Lepisosteus oculatus: one gene and its partners. The protein of the gene in region 1 purifies or fractionates together with the protein of each later gene. This does not show direct contact. Links are inferred from orthologs where the notes say so. Each region holds a gene or a part of one and is shown in the gene's direction. Other genes may lie near its edges.

Region 1 (8,207 bases):
TGGGTAAGGCTGGGAGATTTCTTGGTCAAGTAGAGTGAGGGCTTAATGAAACTAGATTTTAGTTTACAGTGCCTGGAAAGAATTAAGTTAAGAACAGACTCGCCTAAAAATAGGACATGCATTTACACACGGATTTGTGGGGAGCTGTGTCCAACTTCCCTTTCAGGAAACAGCTTGTGGTGCCTTAAGAATTGGCTGAATTCTGTGATCAAACGGTTCATATCAACCCAATATAAAGGAAGTCCAAATGGAAAAACAGTGTTGTGGATTTTATCTATGTAATCTTATGAGATGACGAGGATCTGGTGTGCTGTTTGAAGAGATATCAGTCATTGCTTGTTTTTTTTTAATGCTTCCCTATATGGTTTCGTATAAACGTATTCACTTTAAGATATTCTGAATTTATGCATATTTTTGCTGCCGAATGTTATCAGAGCTCCACATGGGTCTAAGTGATACATAAAGGCACCTTGAGTAAACAAATAACTCAGGAGTTTAGTGCTTGTTTCATTTATTTAAAAAACAGTCATCCAACGTCCAAATGTCCCTGAGTGGAAAAGGTTAACTGATTCTCCCCTGAGATTCAGTAACTGGTTGCTCCACGTTTAGCTGCAGGAACTGCACCCAAATACGTCCCGTAGTTGAGCATCGGTCTCTCACATGGTTGTTGGAATATTGACCTGTTCCCCCGTGGCAACCTGCTGGAAACTGCTGTAAGGGGGGTGAATACTTTCAGAACGGTAGCTGTCCTGAGGATGTGATCTGTAGCTGAAGTGCTCATCTGGAGACTGCACTCTGTGCTTTGGAAACTGTATCATTGCTGTGTATCGCTGATCTCTGTAGCCCATCTGGGACCTGTGTGTAATGGTGGAGCCCCACTGCAGTCACATGCACAGCTCTGCATGCCTCCTTATCTCACAGGGGAGTTAATTTGTGATTTACTGTAGGACAGTTAAAAGGATAGCCCTCAGGAGCTGAGCTGTAGAGTTCAGGCTCTGCAGAGCTCACGTTGTCCATGCAGTAGCAGCAGCACCGCAAGTTCTCCACACCTGTCTCTCTGGAAGACCTGGAGCCAGTTGAAAGTTAAAAATGAATTAGTTGCTCCTGCCGTTGAGGATCAACATAAATAATTAAGAGTCGGTAGGAGCACAATGCTGCAATGAAATAGAGCCGAGCTGCTGCCTGTGCCCGCCCCAGCCCCCGGGGAGTTTGGTCTGTGTGAACAGGTCCTGTTCTAGTGGGATTTCGCAAACGCTGACTCCAAAGTCCTTGGCAGCGGGATATATTTGCTCCTTGCAGTTTGCCACTTTCTCCGGAGAGACTGTCTAAAAATATTGCATCACAGTGTTTCCAAATGTTCTCGTCCCCAGCAGGCTTTTAGAGAATGTGTGCAGAGCACTGCTAGGCCTCAGCAGTCCGTGTACATACCCGTGTGGCCAAACTGTGGGTATGGGAGTGTTAGTGTGCACTAGAGTATTTGACACATGGGCTAATCACCACTTACTGCTATCTTTAATACATTTTCAGTGTATGAAATACACTGTATTGCTGCCTTTTCTGGTCTTTTTCCACTTGTGTTATTTCTCTTTCTTTTCCTTTGTCCTAGAAGTACTATACTGCATGTCTTGGATGGATCTAAATAGTCCGGGCTTACTGCTTTCATACACACACCTGACAGCAAGCATACAGTACGTTAGAGACGCACCAATTTGCACCTCAGCTGGGGATTACAGTTCCCCTTTCTGAGAGATTGCACTCTGTGTGAGCTTTTACTAAGCTGTGGCTGCCCTAAGAGTGTTAATTAATGATTCTGTTGATTTAAAAATATTTCAAATACGGGGACATCAGGAGCCTGCAGTAGTTCTGACCTGTAAATGTGTGAGACTGTAACAGGGGTGAGAGGTCAGTGATCTTGGTGCAGGTTAAAGGTAAACGCAGTGTGTGCAGTTATTAACAGTGCAGTAGAGCTTTGCATGCATTTGCCTCTTATTTATGGGTTGTTCAATAATATATCTGCTATTGAAGTGCTTTGAAAATGAAGCCTTGTTAAATTAATAAGGGTGGAAAAGCCTAAAGTTAGCTGTCACATCCCCTGTGTCATTGGATGACACTCTTCCAATATGGATACATAAAGAAACAGTATAGTTACAGACCTTGTCCTGGAGACAGAGAGCCCCAAAGGTTGGAAACTTTAAAGTTGTGACTCTTCGTTCCGTACCTGAATTTTGTAAGCCATACATTTGTATACCATATTTGCACACACCACACTGTATTTAATTTTTTTTAATTGTTAAAAAATGAGAATGTTAACCTTATATACTGTATTATACTGTTCTTAATGTAACATTGTTTTGTTAAATTGGGACTCTCTGACATCTGAATTCCAATGGGTGATAAATGCATAAAAGCCACATCATGTTGCAATTTGTGCATTGGATGGCCATCTGCAGGACCTCCCTCTGCATCTGCTCTGTAATAGTATGCAGCTTCATTAAAGCCACACTAAAAACTGTTCCCATACTTGAAGTAAGAGTAACACCTGTTCTGGTTCTGCCATGCTGAATGAGTCGTGTGACTGTTGTTGTCAGATAATTAAAAAATACATGTCATATTTTGAATCACGATATATTGTACTACAAAAAAAATCATTTCACCTCATTTTTCGGGTGATGGGTATGTTGTTGTTGAGACAGGCTCAAAGTCTTTTTCACATGAGTCTCCATTTTTCACAGTTACGTTTTATGTTATTACTTGTGAAGGACTGCAGACATGCCTGTGAGAACCCGACACTCCAGATCACACTTGTTGTGATATACCAGTTCTCAAATTGTTGTCAGGAGCAGTTAAAAATATAGGCATTAGCCGCTTGTAATTAAAATGGGAAATTCTGATAAAAAGGGTTTGATAGCGTCATGCCAATCATTAGAATACTTCAAAATTAGGCGAATTGTTGGATTTTTATGGATACACTTGACACTGATGGCCAGGGCAGCATTTTCACAATGAATTCTGATATTACTGATACAGTTTTGGGGCGGCACAGTGGTCAGCATTGCAGCCTTGCAGTGTTGGGGCCCTGTGTTCCATTCCAGACCTGGGGAGCTATCAGCTTGGAGTTTAGACATCCTCCACACATCCGTGTGGGTTTTCTCCCACAGTCCAAAAACACACTGGTTGGTTTAATTGGCTTCCAGGAAATTTGGCCCTGGTGTGAGTGTGTTTGTGTCTGTGTGTGCTATGCGATGGGCTGGCATCATGTCCAGGGTGTATCCTGTCTTGTACCCCGTTGCTGGTAAGGATAGGCTCCGGCTCTCCTGCTGGGATGGAGGGATACAGTCCTCTTAGTTGAAATGAGAAGGAAGAGGCTTCTCCGGTTCTCGGTTCTTTGGTCGGGGCCGGGCAGAGGGATCGGACTGGCTGGAGGGGGTCCGCCCCGGTATGAGGGCAGCAGTGTCCTCTCCCCAGTGGGGCAGTGCAAGAGAGAAACTGGAGGGCAGCAGGGCACTGACTCTGAGCTCTGGTCTGAACTCTCTTCTGCAGATTGCAGTGGGTGTTCACATTTGTCCTTTTTCCACCAAACCTCTTGCCACATCTGTCTCCAGAGGTGCCAGCGGCAAAGCTTGTGGCTGTCACAGACCTGGGTTGTGGGGCGCTGCGTAAAAGAAGTGTTTGTAGTGCCGTCAGCTGTGCTGAGACGCCTCCTTTAGCTGCCCGGCATTTGTGCTGCTTTGCGCTGGTAAGTGGAGTGTACAGTATTAGCTTTGTTCATGCCGTGAGCACTGTGTTGTGAAATCCCATCAGGAATGTGAGCCGGGTTGCAGGGCTGTGCGGAGCGGAGAGCAGGGAGGGTCATTGTACAGCGGGGCTCGCGGCTTCAACAATGGAGCACTGTCTGCGGCTTTGGACCGAAAAACCTAATAGTTGGAGGAATTTAAAAGGCAGGATAAAAGCTGCTATAAAAAACAAGTAAGTAGAAGCTGCTATAAGCCTTTCCCTGAGGTGCCCTAATGATGCGTTTTCTGCAGATGTCGAGGTCTTCAAAACAGATAGACAGGGAGGAACACTGGGGGCTTCGCTGTCACCCCCGGCACCTGGGAGCAGTGGAAAAGGAAGCAGCTCTTGAAAAAGGCAGCTAGACAATTTGATCCTGACCTGAGTCGTAATGCCTGCGATCAAAACGAAGATAATATTATTTGGGATCTTTCTTGGGAGAGCAGTGTGGGCATTCCCGGGATGCCATGCTTCTCAGAGCTGTGGCTTTGAATGCATGTGTGCATTGCATGCAAGATAGAGACGTCTAATGTTAGTCTCTGAATCACAGCTTTGCTGTCATTCTCAGGCCTGTCCACAGGTGCTGAATGCTCCTACTGGCCTATACTGGGAAGTAGCAAGGGGGACACGGACTAGAAATAAGACAGCTCTCCTTAGTTGCCAAAAGGCCAACCCAGAAGGATTTCATAGGTTTCTATAAAATGATCAAGCACCATACACCTGGAACTATGGTGTAGTTGGGTGATTTGAAAGAACAGTTTGCTCAATTAGCTGAGAGCTCAGATGGAGTGAAAATTGTAAGGCTCAGTTGGCTCTTGAGGACTTAAATTGAGTAGCACTGGTGCAGTTGTAACATGTGCCGAATCATGAGTTAAGGTCCAGGCGATGTGTGTACTTGGCCTGGGGTTGTACTTGTGCACTGTGCTGGGGTTAGCATACCTGGAGCACAGTGCCCGTGTCGGGGAGGGTAATGTGTACAGTACAGTAAGGACATCTTCGCCCACTGCTCTGCTTCACTAACCCTGTTTTTGTTTGTTCCCAGGTCCCTGAATGCCCCCCGGACCCCTGCTCTCTGCCCCACGGCGCCCCCCAATGGCTCTCAGCTGACCCCCAGGATGACTGTGAGTGAGCGGCTACAGAAGCGCATCTCCGCTGCATTCTACCGGCATGGGTTGCTTTGTGCATCGTACCCAGTACCCATCATCCTCTTCACCGCGGTCTCCATCCTGGCCTGCTGGTGAGTATCGCGGGGCAGCCAGACCCCGAAAAAGACACAGAGGGAAGGATGTAAGAGAAAGGAGGAAGATCAATGTATTTCATTGAAAGAGGGAAAGTATGTCTGTCAATGCTAGCTATCCTTTCTTTCCACTTATATCAAGAAATTATTGTGGGAGTATGGGACAAGTCACCCAACCATGTGGTTGATGCCGATACGCTGAATGAGATCCTTGGATCAATTAAGTACTAACTACCAATTGGGCTAGATGGGCCTAATGTCTTCCTCTTGTTTATAACTGTACTTATGTTCTTAAAAAGCATATATCTTATATATATATTGAAACATCAACATTTATTATTGCTGCTGCTTTTAAGATGAACAGTAATACCCTAATAATATCTGTATTTCCCTACAGAGAGTGTGAGGGGCCATAAGACTGGATGTGATTCAGTTGTTAGTTTGCCAGTCATTGGTGATGTTGCAGCAACAGAATTAGTGGTGCTATTCAGGGCTTTGCTGCTATCTTTAGTCAAGTGGGGCTGAAGACAACATTTCCAAACCCTGTCTGCAGCCTCACACTGAGAGAGCCAGGCATCGTCTTTTTCCAGCCAGCCAAACTCCCAGTAGATTTAAGCACATCCTCAATGCAGTTTAATTACACAGCTTTCAACAGCAGATCTTTGAGTATACACTGCCTTTCAAAAGCATTTTCTGCTTCCAATGATGTCCTGTTTTGATGAATTACAAATTATATACGCACATTATTTTTTGTGCTACTACAGATTACAACAAAATCATCCAACCTCAACAGTTTTTTGTTAACTTCTTTCCCGGCTGCTTAATTTGGAGGCACAGTCTGATGTAGGCAGTGTCTGGGTGGTACACTACAGATTCCAATTGTTATATGATTGACTTCACCATGCTGAAAGGCTGTACAGTGTCTTTGAAATATTTTTATACCCTTCTTCTGATCTATGCCTTTCTACAACTGTTTCCCTGAGTTGTTTTGAAACCTGCTTGGTCTTCATGGTTAAATGTTTGCTTGAAAATCACTACCTGACTGAACGGCCTTACAAAGACGGGTACATATATGACATCATATAATTGCAGTCTTACCACACACAGATAGGGGGACACTCAGATAATTGTGTGACATGTCACAGTAATTTTATATACCTGATCTAATTTAGGTTGGCCTTAGCAAAGGTGGTGTATTATTATACAACATATTTATCTTTTTATTTCCCAGATATAGGCGATTAATATATATATATAAGTATTAGTTCTACCAGTAACTACAGTCTAAAGTAATGTCAAATCAAAAGATTGAAGAAAATCAAATGTACTTGTTCATCTGTCTTTAAACTGCAAACACAATGATAAGGATAATAATGATGAAGACAGACTTTAAGGGCTTTCTCTAGCCCTAGCTCTGCCTCAACAGCATGCTAACTGAGAACTCCATTAGAACATCTTTTTTCAAATCATTAAAAACCTGCCTAATGTAGAAACATCATTACAGAAGATGAATCTATAGAGCTTTTAGATGATCAGCTAGCTACAGTAGGATAGGGTTAGCTTTCCGACACTAGAGTTTCTTTTTTTCTTTCACTCATACAAGCCTTCAAAAGTGCCAAGTGAACAATATTCACATGGGGGAAAAAATGTGTGTACAGTACATCATTTGGAATTGATCCGAATGGAACATCATCGGAAGGAGGTGAATACTTTCGCAAGGCACTGTGTGTTTTTTTGAGTTGACACTGAAAGGACATATTAGTTACTGAAATTATTAGGCTTTCCTGCATTTCTTCATCACTGTCGCAAGGACCGTTGTTCATCTGGGCCCAACATCCATCTGATAAATTAAAATTAATAATACCACGATAATCCCAAACACAAAATTCTGTCAGTCTGGTAACCAATTGATTGCTCTTGCCGACAGCTACCCCTTGCTCAAGTTGCCTTTGCCTGGAACAGGGCCGGTGGAGTTCACCACAGGGGTGCGAGATTATACCACACCACCCTCCGAGCCTCAAGGAGACCCTGGGGACCTGCCTGACTGGGTAAGATCCTGTGGGTTGAGGGTCAGGGTCAGTGTGCTCCTGATTTGTGTCTGTTCTAGACTCACTGTCTCTCTCCTATGCTTTGTTCTGTTATGTTGCTGCTGTAACACAATATCGTGTGCACTGTATGTTACTGTTGCTGTGTGTTCAACTGTCTCTCTCTGTACTGTTCTTCGTAAGCCTCCCTTCTTCTTGATCAAGCTCTATATAATGTAACCTCTGTCTCTATTATGTGGTTTGCAGTACTGCAGTCCCCCTGTAGCCTACATCCAGCAGGTCTTGGTGAAAGCTGCAGTGGTTCCCTGGGACAGTCGACTGGTCCCTGTTGATGCTTTCCGCTCCCCGCTGGCCCAAGTCTTCACTCTGCTGGAGGAGATTCGCAATCATGTGCACAGAGACAGGTACCACCGCATCCCAGTAAGGCACTGTGCACAAAGACAGGTACCACCGCATCCCAGTAAGGCACTGTGCACAGGGACAGGTACCACTGCATCCCACTAACACTGCACACAGCCAAGTTCCTTTGTATTCCACTAATGTACTGTGCACAAAGACAGGTACCACTGTACCCCAAAAACACACTACACAGCCACTTACCACTGTACCCCAGTAACACACTGTACCCCACTAATGTACAGTCGGGTACTGTACACTGTACCCCACTAACATGCGGTGCACAGCCAGGTACAACTGTATCACACTAACTCACTGCGCACAGACAAGTACCACTGTGCTCCCTTAACACGCTGCGCACAGACAAGTACCACTGTGCTTCTTTAACACGCTGCGCACAGACAAGTACCACTGTGCTTCTTTAACACGCTGCGCACAGACAAGTACCACTGTGCTCCTTTAACACGCTGCGCACAGACAAGTACCACTGTGCTCCCTTAACACGCTGCGCACAGACAAGTACCACTGTGCTCCCTTAACACGCTGCGCACAGACAAGTACCACTGTGCTCCCTTAACACACTGCGCACAGACAGGCACCAATGTAACAAACTAACACACAGTACACAGAGTCAATTAACACTTATTCCCAGGCTTCCTGGCCCAGTTTTCTTATATCTCTATAGCTTTCAACAGTCTCTGTATCTCTATCTCCCTCTCTTGCTCTTTCTGGGTGTAGTTCTGGCGTTCGCAGCCTGG
Region 2 (8,207 bases), on another chromosome or scaffold:
ACCTCCGCGAGACGGCCCCCCCGCCCCTGCGGGCGCTGCTGGCCTGGTGCGGCGGCCGCCACCACGTCCTCGACAACAGGGCCCCCGGCGACCGGCGGCAGGTGCAGGGGCTGCTGGGAAAGGTGGAGGCCCTGGTGCGGGAGAACGGGGGCCGCTACTACAGCAGCCGCCTGTTCGAGGAGGCGGAGGCCGCCATCCGGGCGGAGCAGGACAGGATGCTCCGGGAGGGGGGGCGGGAGCCCGCCAGGAAGAGGAAGTGGGGGCGGGGGGCGGGGCCAGAGCCGGGGGGAGGCGGGGCGTTGGGCCGGGCCCCCAGGAGGAGGTTCCGGAGGGACGCGGAGCTGTCGGAGCTGGTTCTGGAGAGGATCCGGGCCCTGGTGGCGGCCGGGGCCGCGGGGGCGGTGGTGGGGGCGCTGTGCGGGGCCGCGGTGCCCCTGGCGGCGGCGGCGGGGGCCGCGGTGATGGGGAACGCCGCCGCCTTCGCGGCCGGGCAGGTGTGCGGGGTCCCGGCGGCCACCGCGGCAGGGAAGGCGGTGGGCGCCCTGGTGGCGGCGGCGGCCGGGAAGACGGCGGTGGCCGCGGGCGCCGCCACGGGGGTGGTGCTGGGGGGCTCAGTGGGGGCCCTGGCGGGGGCTGAGGCGCCGGGGCCTGCGCGGGCGGCAGTGCAGGCAGCAGGGGCGGTGGCGGAGCTGGGGGCAGCCGCAGTGGGCGTGGCGGCCGGGGTCGGGGGCGTGATGGGCGCTGGGGCTGCGCTGGCGGCTGCCAGTGCCGCTGGGGGGGCGCCAGCGCTGGCGGCAGCAGGAGTGGAGCCGGGGGGCGGGGCAGCGGGGCTACCATCAGGGGGTGTGGCCGCCACAGAGGCCACGGGGGCAGTGATGGCAGAAGGGGGAGGGGCAGCGGGGCTGGGGGCGGGGCTACCATCAGGGGGTGTGACCGCCGCACAGGCCACAGGGGCAGTGATGGCAGAAGGGGGAGGGGCAGCGGGGCTGGGGGCGGGGCTACCATCAGGGGGTGTGACCGCCGCACAGGCCACAGGGGCAACGATGGCGGCAGGGGGCGTCCAGGGCGAGACGGGCGCAGCCGGGATGGGGGCCCTGCAGACCGCAGGGGTGGCGGCGAAGATGCTGACCGCCGTGGCGGAGCTGGGCAAGGCGGCGGCGGGCATCGCGCTGGCTGGGGGGCTGACGTTCAGGCTGGTGAAGGAGAGAGTGAGGCCGGGCTCGCAGGCGTCCGACGGCCCCTACACGGAGAGGCAGTCCCTGGAGTTCCACCTGGACAGGAGCGGCCGGCCCGGGCGCGAGGATCAGTGAGAGGGCCGGAGGGTACGAAGCACCTGTCTCTCCACAACACCTCGGCTCCTGCCCCCTCTGCAAGCGCCGGGACTCCGCCTGGTTCCAGTTCGGGCTGATGAAGATCTGCGTCTACAGATTGGGCTTGAACTACAGACACCTGCCCCCTTTCCTCAGCTGTCGTTACAATAGAGCAGCTGCCCTTCAGCCAGCAGCCTGTCCGAGTGCTTTGCTCAGTAGATCTCTTTTTATTTGACTTTTACAAGCTAGTACTACCTTGCAGTGCCTGAACCAGCCTGCTCAGAGATGGCGGTGATTTATAAAAAATCGACACTGTGCCTTAAATTAAAACTTGCATGTTTTGTATCTGGCATTTTAAAGCGTTGGCAGACTTGCAAATAAAAGTATTTCTGGAGCATTCGTGGTGTCTTTCGTGGGCCAAGACTCAATCAGCAGGCCACTGCCCGTTGTCTGTGTTCTCCAGTCTTGAAACAGGACTGTAATACACGCACCAGAGGGGCCCAACAGCCCATCCAGCCTGTGTCCTAGACTGGTAAATGTAAGCTTTTAATTCATCCAGGTGGGGCTGCACATTGGTGGTGGTGGAGGGGATCCCCATTACCTGTAAAGCGCTTTGAGTGGAGTGTCCAGAAAAGCGCTATATAAGTGTAAGCAATTATTATTATTATCATCATCATCATCATCATCATCCCAGGATCTTATCCAGCTGCTTGATCCCCTTTGAAAGAAGCCTGGATATCAGCCTCAGTGCCGTGGCTGGTCAGCTTGTTCCATACTCCCACCCCCCTCTATGTAAAGAAGTGCCTCCCCTTCTCAGTTTTAAATGTGCTTCCAAACTTGCAATCATCTCTGGATCATGTTTCGCTGTTTACGTATGAGCGCTTTTCAGGAAAGTCAAAGAGCTGGACTCCCATGGGTACCGTTCGGCACAGAAACACGACACGCTGCATGTACAGGTGCAGCCAACACTGGGATATTCAAAGTGTCCTGTCTTTTCAATATACTGGTCTAATCCTCTGTCCTCCTTCAGGCTCCTGCGCAGATGTCTTACACACGATCAGAAGTCATACACATGTGCAGTATGTTTCTTAAGACAGCAGCAGCAATTCATTCAAATCTTGCACGGGTGTTGTCTGCGCTAGTGAAGACTGACACAGTGATTAGTACCGCTTAGTTCGGGCGAGAAGACACCAGACCAGTCAGTTCGGCATCTGTAATTCATGCACATCCGAGTCTGGAAACACCAAACTCACATCGGCTCCCGACACGGCTGAACGCCGGTCGTAGGAGCTGCTGACCCGTTGCATTTACCAGTTCAACGAGCTGAAAGAAAACAAGGACTTTTTTTATTTTAAGGTTTAAATGTAGACTAACAGGGCCAGATCATTAAAAGATCCCTGGAGACGGGAAACTATTGACTGGCGGAATGAATTACATAACACAAATAAATAAAAAACCCCGTGGTTAGCCGAATGACAGAACTTAAATATTAAATGTCATTCATGAACAACCGCGGAGGAGTTCCCTCATGCAGAAGGCAGAGCGAGCCGCCCGGAAGCCGCTCATGGAGAATCGGCGCTCGGGCCGCGCCCACCGCCCCGGGGGAGGCGGGGCCAATGCAAAGCAGCCGAAAGCGTCTGATCGCTGACGTACTATCAGACCACGGCGGCCGGAGCCCGCCGATTGGCTGGGGGGGCCTGGTCTCATGACAACAACAGCCGGGGATCCACCAATCGGAATCCCCGCTGGCGGCCTTCCACTGTTTGTAAATGACGTCACCGCGGCAGCCAAGATGGCCACCTAGGGGTTTGTGGATGGTGCTCAGCCCTCTGACAGCTCTCGCGTCCCGGCCGAAGGCGCTCTTGTAGCCCGCCTTGTTCTGTTCGAAAGCGGATCGCACGCTTTGACACCCGCCGGGGACGGTAGACCTAGCCGATCGTGGGGGGGTGTCCCAGCCCCGTCCTGCCCAGACGATGGAGGGAGAGTTCTTGCCGGCGGTCGACAGTATGGACCCGACTCTCTCCGAACTCGGGGATGACTTCTCCCTGGGCTACATCGACGGTGAGTCGGTCTCGCCGAGCCGCCGACCTCCGCAGGAAGACAGAGCCCCGTGTCCGTCCGTCCGTCCGTCCGTCCGTGTGTGCGTAACCTTAACCCGGTACCGGTCCGGTCTGCCACGGATCTGAGCCCCGATGGGTACCGGGCAGTACAGTCCGAGACCGTCTCACCTGAGCGGAGCCCTCTCTCCTGGGCTTGCTTCCAGTTGTGATGAAACACGAATTGTTCTCTCTAGTGAGTGGCTTGGATTATTGCTAATGATCTGGTAGCGCCGGGATGCTCTAATGTGGTGTAGGTGTTATTTTTAGGCGAGTATTTAAGGAGCTGTTTAAAGACCGCTTCCCTGCCTCATTCTGCATCCCGTGTGTGTGTGTGTGTGTGTGTGTAAAGTGTGAAGTTTGTCTTTCGGTGTTGAGCTGTTTGTGTCGTGTGTGTTGTAAGCGTGGAGTTTGTCGAGTCTGTCTGAATTGCTATCCAATGTGAAATTTGTGTTGCGTGTAGGTGTGTGAATCGCGTTTGTTTCGAGTGTGTTTGTAATCATGGAGTTTGTGTTGTGTCTGTGTGAACTGCTGTTTAATATGGAGTTTGAATTGAATGTGAGTGTAGGTGGGGGTTGTGTGTGTGTGAGTGTGGAGTGTATGTTGTGTGAGAACACAGCAGTGCTGTGCTCAGTGATGGGGTGAGCAGTGTGCAGTGTTCAGGCCCAGTGTGTGTGTGTTGTGTGTGAACACAGGGAGATTGCTGTGACTCGAGAGCAGTGCTGTGCTCAGTGATGGGGTGAGCAGTGTGCAGTGTTCAGGCCCAGTGTGTGAGTGTTGTGTGTGAACACAGGGAGATTGCTGTGACTCGAGAGCAGTGCTGTGCTCAGTGATGGGGTGAGCAGTGTGCAGTGTTCAGGCCCAGTGTGTGAGTGTTGTGTGTGAACACAGGGAGATTGCTGTGACTCGAGAGCAGTGCTGTGCTCAGTGATGGGGTGAGCAGTGTGCAGTGTTCAGGCCCAGTGTGTGTGTGTGTGTGTTGTGTGTGAACACAGGGAGATTGCTGTGACTCGAGAGCAGTGCTGTGCTCAGTGATGGGGTGAGCAGTGTGCAGTGTTCAGGCCCAGTGTGTGAGTGTTGTGTGTGAACACAGGGAGATTGCTGTGACTCGAGAGCAGTGCTGTGCTCAGTGATGGGGTGAGCAGTGAGCAGTGTCCAGGCCCAGCGCCTGCTCATCAGCGTGTGTCCTGCCGGAGACAGTCGGGGCGCCGTGCTGGGCTGCACTCAGATGTTTCTGTGAACACGTAGCTGCATTCCAGCCGTGCAGCGAACAGGCTGGGCAGCGTCATCAGCGCTTGTCCACTCTCGGACGTCCGCATCAGTGAGCGGACATCGCCCGGGATTGAACCGGTCTGCTGCACGGATCCCATCGGTCCCACCTGTGTGTCTGTGTCTTTCTCTCTCCGCGCACTGCGCCGCCTTGCTGGGTGTCAGTGAAGCCGCTTCCTGGAGGTCATATTAAATCCACAGACATGAAATGCAAAACTGAACTGCATTGCAAACCTGCACAGCCACATCCAGCTGAAGGACCCCTGGGCTCATGATGACCAGTACGAAGCCTCGCGGGAGGGAGAGCAGACCCAGCCCTCCTCTCTGCGAGGTCACTCAGCTGTCAGTGGCCCGCGGAGGTGGCGGGTTTGACAATCACACCTACGTCTGCCTGGGGGTAAAACCCGGACTGGCCTCCCGGATGGGCGCCAGGATTCGGGTACTGTGACGTGGGCTCCTGGGGGAGAGGAGGGGGTGGAGGCTGGCCCTGACCGTGCAGCGCTGTTTGAATCTGTGCCAGTGAGGCCTGTTGCAGCCCGGGCTGTGTTGACCTGCTGGGGACCCTGCTGTCCCAGTGTTGCCTCAGAACCTGCTGATGCTTCTTGTCCGTCTCTGATATCAGCCCCCGTGTTCTGATCTGAAGCTCTTGGCTGTCTGTGGCCTGTACCTGTCACACATTTGAGCCGTTTCATCGCCTGAAGCTCATTTCAGGTTGTTCAGGTCTCGCACAAACCCTAAGAACTGTCAGCCTGCAGGGTGAGCTGTGACCTCTGACCCTGTGCTGTAGGGTGTCGGTGAAGGTTGCTGTGAGCTGTGACCTCTGATCCTTTGCTGTTGGGTGTCTGTGAGAATTGCTGTGACCCCTGATCCTTTGCTGTTGGGTGTCTGTGAGAATTGCTGTGATCTCTGACCCTGTACTGTAGGGTGTCTGTGAAGAGCTCAGTGAGCTGTGACCTCTGACCCTGTGCTGTAGGGTGATTGTGAGAATTGCTGTGACCTCTGACCCTGTGCTGTAGGGTGTCTGTGAAGAGCTCAGTGAGCTGTGACCTCTGACCCTGTGCTCAGTTCTGCAGGACAGACGACCTGCTGGGGTGCCGCAGCTCCATGCGATACGCGACAGGGTGGCCTGTTTCAGGCCTCCTCCGAGCAGCGAGCAGATGACCAAGTCGGTTCTTGACGCGGAGCTGTGGGGCTCCAGACACGTCGTGACGCACTGACCCGCCGCCCTCCTCACCTCTCTGTGTCCCCTCTCTCTCCGCAGAGATGCTCCAGTTCGTGAGTAACCAGGTGGGCGATTTCTCTGACCTGTTCGAGGACCAGCTGGGCGGCAGCCTGCAGACTGGGGGTTCGGGGGTTCCTTACCAGCAGCAGCAGCCCCCACCACAGCAGCAGCCCCCCGGCACCAACCCCACCCCCCAGCCCAGCCCGGTCTATCAGGGCGGGCCGGCGGTGCCCCTGTCCCAGCTGCCCCCCTCCCTGCACCAGTCCCTCCCTCTCACGCCTCCCCAGACCCCCGTGCAGGCTGTCCAGCAGGGCTCCCCGCCTCTGACTGTGGCCCCGGCCCCGGCCCCGGCCCCGCTCCGCAGCGCCCCCTTGCTGCAGCCCAGGCCGCAGCAGGTGCAGGCGCCGCCGCCGCCCATCGCGGTGTCGGTCCAGACCCAGACCCTGACCGTGCAGACCCAGTCGGTCCCCATCTACACCCAGGGGCTCCCCGTGCAGACGCAGGCTCCCACCCAGACCGTGATGTTCACCCCCACTCTGACCAGCTCGTCCCAGTCGCGGATCGTCCAGCACCCCGTCATCTACCACCAGAGCCCCATGAGTGGATTCCAAGGTGAGGACTCGGCTCGGCTCGGCTCGGCTCGGCCTCGCGTGCCCTCCTTGCTCCTGGGGCGCCCCCTGCTGGCGGTGTCGCTGTCCTTCGCTCGGTGCGCTGGGCACAGGCATCGTCCTCTTCAGGCAGACAAGTCCAGTGTGAACGAAACAGCGCTGTGGGGGTCCCGATGCCCCAGTATACTGTCCTTCAGATGAGACGTCAAACCGAGGTCCTGACTCTCTGTGGTCATTCACAATCCCAGGGCGTTCCTCGACAAGAGTAGGGGTGTAACCCCGGTGTCCTGGCCAAATCTCCCCCTGGCCTTTACCAGTCATGGCCTCCTAATAACCCCCCTCTCTGAACTGGCTCCATCCCTCTGCTCTCCTCCCCACTGAGAGCTGGTGTGTGGGGAGAGGACTGGAGCATCATGCAGGTGGGGGTACACACTGGTGAGGGTGGAGGGGATCCCCAGTACTTGTCCAGCTCTGTGAGTGGCGTGTGCAGGAGAGCGCTGTAGAAGTGTGAGGATATTACTACGGATTGAGCGCAGGTGTAGAGGAGAGCCCAGCGCAGTTTGTGTCCGCTGCCCTGCAGCGAGTGCCCTGCCTCACTAACCTCCCCCCCCACGTTGCCCCCAGTCCTCCAGCCGCAGGTGCAGAGCATCGTCACCTCGTCGCAGGTCCAGCCCATGGCCATCCAGCACCAGAGAGTGCTGACGCAGGCAGGCCCGCAGACCATCCAGACCCTGGCCACGGCGCCCTCCACTGTGCAGGCGGTCTCGCAGCAGGTCCAGCAGGTCCAGCAGGTCCCGGTCAGTACCTCCACAGGGGAGAGGGGGAGGCCAGGGGGCGTTCGTGTCGTCGGTGTGGGCGCTGTTAACGCCGTGACGTGCCCTCTCTCAGGTGCTGGTGCACCAGCCGCAGATAATCAAGACGGACTCCCTGGTTCTGACCACGCTGAAGCCCGACGGGTCCCAGGTGCTGTCCGCGGTGCCGAACCCGGCCGGGATCACCACGCTCACCACCCCGATCCAGACCCATGCCCTGCAGGTCCCGGTAAGTGCAGGCGGGAGGCGCGGACTCCTCTGCTTCTCTAGGGGTTCCTCTGGGCTCCCTGTTAGGGCCTCCCTTGGCGTCACGTGACAGCGCTTCACTCCCTGCCTTTCTCCCCTTCCCCCTCTCTCAGACTCTGGTGGGCGGCAACATCCTGACCACGGTGCCCGTGATGATGGGCGGGGACAAGGTGCCCATCAAGCAGCTGTCGTCCGGCGGGTCGCCGGGCGGGGGCGGGGCCCGGGCGGGGCCGGGGGCGGAGATGGGCGGGGCCGGGGGCGGGCCTGGGACGGGGTTGAAGGAAGGGGAGAGGAGGACCACCCACAACATCATCGAGAAGCGGTACCGCTCCTCCATCAACGACAAGATCATCGAGCTGAAGGACCTGGTCATGGGCAACGATGCCAAGGTGAGGGGGGGCGGAGAGGCCTGCCAGCCTGGGGGGTGTAGCGTAGCGCAGTGAGCTAAGGCTGATGGAGATGGCACTGGTATAGGGGATCACAGACTGGGGTGTTAGGATACAGGGCAGCAGAGAGTGGAGTGTTGTAATAGGCCACACACTGGAGCTGGGGTTATAGAGGCTACAGAATGGGGTACCTGGCATTAATAATGAGCAGGATTGGGTTATTGGGGTAAGATAGGGTAGGTAATTGCAACTGGAGTG
Region 3 (8,207 bases), on another chromosome or scaffold:
ACCCTTAGGGCAGCAGGGACCCAGAGAGAACAGTCTTGTCATGTGTGTGTAATGGCCTGTCCTTACTGCTGCTGTTACCGAAGTTTCGCGCTGTGCTGTACGAACTCTTGCATGTGTTAAACTCCAATAAAACACTACCAGTGTGATCTGTACATTCCGGTCTCTGTTGTTCTTGCTTGGAAATACTGTACCTGTGTAAGTGTAGGCTGGTGTTCCAATTACTGCATAACCTGAAGAACACATTTCCTATCACAATTCTAGGAATCTGAAACCTTAAAATAACTGTGAACCCATAAAATAGTGCCAATTAAATGTTAAATGTAAACTTTTATGTAAAACATCACAACTGACATTATATTGTACAGTAGAATTAGTACTTGAACAACCACAGCAAAATCTTTCAGCTTTAATTTGTGTTGAAATAGCTTAAATATTTATTAGGAATAAAGAACAGAAGGATTACTGAAAAACTTAGAAACTAAAAATGCAAACTGATCCTGGCCTTAATATTGCCTGACTATTGCATAGCTGCTTAGGTAGGAAGCTTTAACCCTTGTATGCTAACTTGGGTGAAGGAAGATCTTTTTTTACGTCCTTTTAAAACTTAGTTTTAATGAATCTTTGGAAAATGAGCCACTTAACCCTTGCAGAATTGCCAAATGTCCCTCTGAAAAAAACTTACATCTCAACCCAAATAAAAACGTCAGTGTGATCCCTGTAAAGCGAATTCCATTGCTGTTCCTCCTCTGATGAACTTGGTCAACACCAGTTAATAAAGCTTTGCTCCGTTAGGAAGAGGAGGACATTTCGAAAGGGTGGTCAGCATCGCTGCCCCACAGCTCTGGGCCCCCGCGTTCAATTCCAGACCCAAGGTGCTGTCTGTGTGGAGTCTGCATGTTCTCCCCGTGTTTGCATGAGTTTCCTCTAACAAACACTTTAAAACTTATTTAGAGCTGCCCTCCTTGTATTGAAAGTAAAAGTCTCCATACTCACTAAGACAAACAGCAAATATTTTTTTTTTGCAATCGATCTGTTCTGGGGAGTCCTTTCCTAGCGGGTGTTAAACCTCCTGTGCTAAAAGTTACCCCCCGGAAAAACTGGAAAACGAGCTGCGCCCGTCCAGCAAGGATTACGTGATGTAATCGCAGAGCCACAGCTGTGACGTCAGATCACCCCACACTGTGCGCCGCTTTTCATTGGTCGGGGCCGCTGGTTCTACAGGCGGGGCCGCCTCTGCGACTCCAACAAACTTGACTGCGCGCAGTCCCGCCTGCGGCCGCTCCCCATTGGCTGGCGGGGACACGCCCACAGGGGCTCGCCTGTGCGGCAGCCGCCGCTTGTGTCTCTGGGAAGCTGCTCCGCTCGCTGGCTGTGTGCTCATGGCCTGTTCAGGATGCGGCTTCGGTTAGCATGAATATCACCTGTCCACGTGGAAGTTGAGTCCATAGTTCTTAGTACACTCTGGGACCGTGCTGCCCTGCGACTGCCTGACCCGAGCAAATGAAGACTTTTATCACTGATTGTGAGCGAACAGATATTTTTTTTTGTAGTACATTTTAAAGGTACACAAACATAGCAGGGGTTTGATAAAAGGCTTAAACAATATATAATAATATCTGTAATTACATTAGTTTTATTGCTGATTAAGAATAGCTTTTGCCACAAGGCGTGCCAGATTAAAAACCCACTTCTTCCATACAAGGCAGAGACCCTATCCCACATGGCAGCCTGGTGCCGAGCTCAAGAATAGAGCCGCACTGCTGTTGGGCCCTGGGGCAGAGCTGGTTATCACACAGTCACCAAACTGAGCTGCTGATGCAGGAGACTCACTAAACCCTGACTAAACCCCCTCAGGCACTGCAGTGTGATCCAGCACACAGACCCTGCTCAGTGACTCCCACTCTGTTCCTGCAACAGGTCTCTCAGGCCGCTCCTGCCCTGAGCTCACCACAGTCATCAATGACCCACCCCCTGAGCCTCAGGGTCCCGGGCGAGCGGGAGAGGAGAGCCCAGCCATCACACTGCACTCCCAGGGGAAGGGCCGGGCAGCTGCGAGTGAGAGAGGTCAGAGGGTGTCTGTAGAAGCAGAAAAACTATGAAAAGGCAGAAAGCAGAATAAAATGAGGTACCAGATCTGTAAAGAAATATTCCCAGTTATTATGCATGAGGCTGGACCGGTGAGAAGAGATACAGCTGTTTTTCGGGGGGGCAGGTGAGAAACACACCCCCCTCTCCTGGCCAGACCGCACATGGCCGCTGTTCTGCCGCTGATTGGCCGGGAGCGCCGTCAGTCCGCGGTCGTCACGGAGCTGCGGGGCGGTGCGTCTGGGGCTTCCCAGCCAGCAGGCTAGGGTGTCGCTCCGCTCAGTGTTTGGACAAGTTTACCGTGAGCGCTCAGCATGGAGGAGCAGGAGAGCAGCGAGTAGACAGACGCATCAGTCACAAAGTTTGATTTCACTCTTTACTGCCGTCTCTGGGGGGCTCCCCCCCCCCCTCCAGACGGGACTTTTCTGTGTTTATTTTTTATGTTGTATTTTAATGGAAACTTCCACGTGATAACTCGGGATAACTGCGAATACACTTGTTAAAAAGAAACAACCGAAAATGAGCGGCCTGCCCTTTGACGACCCGTCGCTGGACCACCTGGACCCCAGCCTGTCTCTTCATGAGCCCAGTGAGATCGACACCGCGCTGCTCAGCGACATCGACGGTAAGCCCGCAGGCGTGCGGACCCGAGCCGGACCCGAGCCGGACCCCGGCTGCAGCCTCGCACGACTGTCAGTGCCGGGACTGCTGCTCGGGCACCGCGCCTGTCCTGTCGGCGCAGCTGTGGTCAGTCTGGCTGGCAGTGGGGTCCGCAGCGACATGTCCCCCTGCGCGCACAGCAGCCCAGAGACCCCCCTCTGCCTCGGGCCGTGGGGCGCTTTCGGACAGACGAGCTCAGGGCCCGCGGGGTGCCGGGCGCAGGGAGGCGGGTTATTGGGGTATCTCAGTGCGGGGGTCCAGCCCCCCAAAGCGTCCGGAGCAGGGCTGCTCTCTGCTCTCGAGCGCCCCGCCCCCCCCTGGCTGCTGCGCGTGGCGTCACGCGGGGGTTACTCTCGTGCATTCCCCCGCCCGGAGTTCACCCGCGTGTTTCTCTCACCCAGGGCCGGGGGAGACACTGAACGATTTGCACCGCTTTCATTACAAAGCCGCGGTCTCCCGGGGGGGGCTTCCTGCAGGGGCCGGTCATCGAGCCTGCAGGGGGGACCCTGTCCGCTGAACACGGCCCGGGGCACGCTCCCGCGGTGTTCAGGAGACCGCCTTTCTTAAACGATTCCTTCTCGGTCCCGCTGTCGCGTTACAGGGCGATTGTTCTTATTCTCCCCCTGGTGACGCGACCTGCGTGGGAGAAGCTGCTTCGTCGCCGTGTTTCTGTCGGGGGGTGTGCATGACCGCGAGTAACCCCGCCGCCTGAGCAGACGCACACGCTGCCCGATAGTAACCCCGGTCGTTCACCCTGCAGCCCGGGACACCGTGGGCTCAGACACGCTGGCTCTCTCGCCGTGTCCCGGGGGCAGGCCCGCATAGCCAGGCGCCCAGCCCGCGTCCCATTGGCTGCGAGCGATCACCTCATACCAAAACACGGCTCGCACCGCCCGGCCCCCCGCGGGCGTGAGGGAGGCGTGTCCGACGGGAGCTGTGCTCCTCTGTGGGCTTGACGGCCCGGCCCGTGCGGGGAGGACGTTCAGCTCCCTCTGGACACGGGGATGCGCGCAGCTCTTGAGGAGTTTGTGATTTCGCAGCTGAGCAGACAGCTTTCACACTGGCTGGCAGTATGGACTGCACTTTAGAAGGTAAATGTTAATGTTCCTGTGGCTCTCTGTCTGTTTCCAGCGCACCTGTGTGCTGCATCTCGCGGTCTCTTGCTGGAATTAGCTTGTTCTTGGGAAGCCTCTGTGTGGACAGACGTATGTCATCTTTCCTTCACACCTACAATACTGGCTGAAAGACGGTGCTGTGTCCTGGACAGCACCAGCACTTTTGCTGAGCTTGGAAACTGCAGTGAACCCAGTCGTACACGAGACTCCGTAGCTGTTGTGATCCGTTTCGTGGTTTTCCAGCTGCAGGGTCAGGTATGACCTGATAAGAGGTGTGCTGGGCCTTTCAGAGTGTAGCTCCAGCAGGGAGCTGTGCCAGCATGCGCAGGCTGCAAAGGAACAGGTAAGGGTTTATTCCAGGCTGAGAGGACAGAGCAGAAACACAACGTTTCGTCAGGCGTGTGGCTCCACAGCCAAACGTTGTGTCTCTTTTCCTTTCAGTGCGGAATAAACCTTTACCCGTTCCTTTCAGGCGGTATTTGCTGAAGTGACAAGTGGCAGCCTCCCGGTTCCTGATGACCTGCGGCACATGAAGCCGAAGTCTCTGGGCTGCTGTGTGCAGGAGGTTTCTGTCGTGAGCTCACTGGCTGTCTGCTGTTCCTGCTCATGCTAGAACACTGTTCGGGTACTCTTTGGAGCTGAATGCTGCCTGAAGCCATTCTATGTTTGTAAATAAGAGCTGCTGTTCTTGCTGAACGTGTTCGGTACTTGAATTAGCTCAGGCAGGGGTCCTGCCCTGATCCTGGGCTCTAGCAGTTGCCCTAAATCACCTGTGTCCTAAAGGTCAGCGACACTAGGAGAGCCATCGATCCAATAAGCAGAGTGCTCTGTGATGTTTGATGCAGAGGATGTTGAAATACCTGAGCGAATCACCTGCTCAGGCAGTCAGTGAAGTGAAGCTGATCTTGCCAGTGTTGGGGCAGACCTGGGTGGGACCAGGCCGGCGCCGGAGGTGCGGAGGAGCCGAGAGAGACTCCTGTCTGCAGAGCGGCACTGGGCCCCTGCTGTCCGGGCTGGTGGTGCACCACCCGTTAACCGTTCAGACTAAACTCGCAGCTAATCAGATTAGTCATTCGCGCAGTTGCCCTGTGAAAGTGGCGCCATCGCGTTCATCACGGTGACCAGACTGGCCGCAGGGCTCTGCCTTAACGAGCTCTGTTATCACCCCTGTAGCTTGTTAGTGGTGTTGTAAAGACACCCAGGGTGCACAGTCAAAAGGTTCCAGTGCCATTAAAATAGCCATCTTCAGATTGGAGAGCAAGATTAAAAAAAAAAAATTCCACAGTATGAAATTGTTCCTCTGATGTGGAGTTGAGAGGAGCTTGTCTGGAGGCAGGGGGTCCGAGGGTCTGCCAATGTTTCGCGTTCTGATCGATCAGTTTGCTCCTGCTCTGTCTGTCTCGCCCCCCGAGCCGGTGACGCTGACCGCTGACCGCTGACATCTGACCTCTGACCTCTGACCTCTCTCTTTGCAGACATGCTGCAGCTCATCAACAGCCAGGACATGGAGTTCCCCGGCCTGTTCGACCATCCCCCTTTCGGCGCGGGGGGTCCCCTGCAGGACACCCCTGTCCTCGCCCCCTCCTCCTCCTCCTCTTCCTCTCTGCTGGGCCCGGGCAGCACCCCGCACCTCGACGCCTTGCTGGGACCTCCCGCCAAGCAGCCCCCCCCTTCTGCGGCGAAGCTGTACCCGCCCCCGTCCCAGCAGCCTCAGCTGGCCGCCCCCTTCGCCCAGAGCAGTCTTCCGGCCCCGCCAGCGCCCCCGCCTGCGCCTCTGCAGGACAGCAAGCCCCCCACCCCGCAGCCCTCGCCCCCCCCAAAACAGCAGCAGCAGCAGCAGCCTCTACAGCCCCAGACCCAGGCAGCGGCGCCCCCTCCGTCTGCCGTGAGGACCCCGAGTCTCGGCTCCAGCCAGCCGGTGCTCTTCAGCTCGCCACCCGCCCCAGGCTACCAGAGTCCGGCCGGGTATGCAGGTACGGCCCCTCCCTTGTGGCTCGGGGTGCAGGGGGGTGGGGTGGGGTGGGGGTCGTTCGCAATGGCTCCGAGGAGGGGGACGGCGCTGCACTAAAAGACAGCTGTTTGGTTTGATCTCGGTTGTGAGAAATGTCGGGGCTCTTCAGGAAGAGGGTCAGTAAGGTGCCCACCAGTGAGGCCTTCCCCTCTGATCCGCTGTCTTGCCAGTCTTTCTGCATCAGCCTCTTGCTCAGCAAACCCCCAGATTCAGGACTGACTGCTGGTGTCGGTGGTGAGGTCCTGACCGGGACGTGGGCGCCTGGTTCACCCCTGTAGAGCAGCATCTCCCACTGAGATTTCTCTCTGATTCTTCAACTACCAGTGTTTGCACCATTCTTCAAACAGGGCCTCGGTGCTGAACTGTTTTCAGAGGATAAAGTGGCTGTAAATACTCTTTGTTCAGGATCTCCGCTGTCGAAGCGAAAGTTATCTGTCCCTAAGTTCCTCTGTGCCCTGACCTGCCGGACCCTTGAGCTTCAGAAGCTGAAGGTTGAAGCCCTTGAGAAAAATAACAAGGACACGAACGAAAATGAACACAGACAAGAAAACCTGCCTGGTTATCCTGGGTCAAAGTGAATTCTGTAAAGACCCGATAAGGAGCTGTCTAGACAGCGTGTGTTGAGTAACAGCCTGTTGCGTTCGGCTCGTTGTGTAATCACTGTGCAACACGAGAGGGAGGGGTGAGAGCCGTTCATGCCCTTTGTTGACTGTGTCGGTAGCTCAGTGCTCAGTATCTCACTATCTGCTGAGCACTGAGGAGATAAGCAGCCTGGACGTCTCGTGAACACCTCTGGCAGCTTTGAGATTTATTGTCGGGCAAATTATTTTTCCAGCTCAGTTTGGTCCAAACATCTGATGCACAGAGGAGGTACGTCTTGCTGAACGTTGGTTTTTTTTTGGTCAGTTAACTTTAAAATACGTTTTTTTTTTTTGAGAAAATGATGTCCGGTTTCTGAGATGTAATCCTGTGTCGTTTCTGGTGCGGTTCGGTCTAGTTGCGATCGCCAGTTGGGTGCTGTTGTGTGCAGGCCCGGCGGCGCCCCCTAGCTGTAACCTGCTGTCTTTACTCTGCAGCCGGGCCGCAGGCGTGCTCCACCCAGCCCAGCCTCCCCGCCTCCCCCCAGCAGATCCAGCCAATGGCCATCCAGACTCAGGTCCAGAGCCTGCCCGCTCCGCAGCTATTGGCCGCCACCGCGAGCCCGCCCACGCAGACCATCTCCCACCAGGTGCACCAGGTCCCGGTCAGCACGGTGCGTGTCTCTGGGTCTCGGAGTGTCCTACCTGCCTGCACAGGGGGAAGCGGCAAGACTTTCTGTCTCCCATCCTGGGCCGATAGGGTGATGGTGATCTGGGTAGGGGGGGCCTCTGCGGGTGAGAGGGGTGCAGGTTAGGTCAGACCTGTTCTCGGGGCCCTGCTGGTCCGATCGTGTCTTGCTCTTCGTCCCCAGGTCCTGCTGCAGCCCCAGTTCATCAAGGCGGACTCTCTGCTGCTGACAGCCCTGAAGCCGGACGCTGGCTCGGTGGTCACAGCAGTGAAGACCCCCTGCATGACCACTCTGGCCAGCTCCACCACGCCTGTGCAGACCACCTCCATACAGGTGAGCCCCCCCCTCCCCTGCCACACAGGTGTCGCTGCACATGCCGTTGATTAAAGGCAGTGCTGTACCTGGTCTTTATTTCCCTCTGAGAGCTGCATAAAAACCACCTGTGTTTTCGTGTTCGTGTGGGGTCGTCTCAGGGCTTGTGTTCATTGTTTCTTCATTTCGCCGCTCTGGCAGTCGCTGGGGGAGGCTGTGAGCCCGTCTGTCCACCCCGGCGCTGGGTCAGCCAGCCCGTGCCCGCCGGCGGGCAGTCCAGCGCGCAGTGGCCTCACGCTCCGACTCTCCCTCTGCCAGGCTCTGGTGAGCGGCGGCACCATCCTGACCACCGTGCCAGTGATGCTGGACACCGACAAGCTCCCCATCAACCGCATCGTGGCCAACGGCAAGCCCTGCGGCCTGCCCAGCAAGGGCGAGAAGCGGACGGCGCACAACGCCATCGAGAAGCGCTACCGCTCCTCCATCAACGACAAGATCATCGAGCTCAAGGACCTGGTGGCTGGAACAGAGGCCAAGGTGCGTGTTTCCAGTCAGACACCCGGAGACGCAGTTCAGTTAAATAGATTAGAAACAGGAAGGATGAGAAGTCAGGCGGCCAGGAAGGGCTGGGTCTTGACCTGGCAGGCGATATGAAATCCAGTCCTGGCCGAGAGTGAGGGTCAGGGGTAACTATCTCTGTCAGAGTCCCGTGGCTTTGGGGGCGCAGCCTGTCGGGGGCGCCTCGGAGGGGCTGTGG

The links.
Region 2: the proteins of scap (region 1) and srebf2 purify together in Homo sapiens (affinity purification with western blotting; 3 studies listed by BioGRID and IntAct, with this or other methods). This does not show direct contact. The link is inferred for Lepisosteus oculatus from reciprocal best matches to the Homo sapiens genes SCAP and SREBF2.
Region 3: the proteins of scap (region 1) and srebf1 purify together in Homo sapiens (affinity purification with western blotting; 4 studies listed by BioGRID and IntAct, with this or other methods). This does not show direct contact. The link is inferred for Lepisosteus oculatus from reciprocal best matches to the Homo sapiens genes SCAP and SREBF1.

The regions. Positions count from the first base shown.
Region 1 is NC_090705.1:19,914,957-19,923,163, reverse strand, and holds the start of scap (sterol regulatory element-binding protein cleavage-activating protein), read left to right. Parts: upstream 1-3,803; 5' UTR 3,804-3,880; coding exon 3,881-3,966; intron 3,967-4,813; coding exon 4,814-5,008; intron 5,009-6,935; coding exon 6,936-7,056; intron 7,057-7,299; coding exon 7,300-7,457; intron 7,458-8,187; coding exon 8,188-8,207. UniProt on the Homo sapiens protein: Escort protein required for cholesterol as well as lipid homeostasis.
Region 2 is NC_090707.1:38,963,425-38,971,631, forward strand, and holds the start of srebf2 (sterol regulatory element-binding protein 2), read left to right. Parts: upstream 1-3,062; 5' UTR 3,063-3,283; coding exon 3,284-3,371; intron 3,372-5,936; coding exon 5,937-6,509; intron 6,510-7,129; coding exon 7,130-7,302; intron 7,303-7,393; coding exon 7,394-7,546; intron 7,547-7,676; coding exon 7,677-7,952; intron 7,953-8,207. Other genes in the region: uncharacterized protein, read left to right, coding at 1-1,310.
Region 3 is NC_090714.1:17,555,393-17,563,599, reverse strand, and holds the start of srebf1 (sterol regulatory element-binding protein 1), read left to right. Parts: upstream 1-2,351; 5' UTR 2,352-2,604; coding exon 2,605-2,710; intron 2,711-3,687; exon of another isoform or gene 3,688-3,817; coding exon of another isoform or gene 3,818-3,836; intron 3,837-5,335; coding exon 5,336-5,833; intron 5,834-6,947; coding exon 6,948-7,123; intron 7,124-7,321; coding exon 7,322-7,471; intron 7,472-7,768; coding exon 7,769-7,987; intron 7,988-8,207.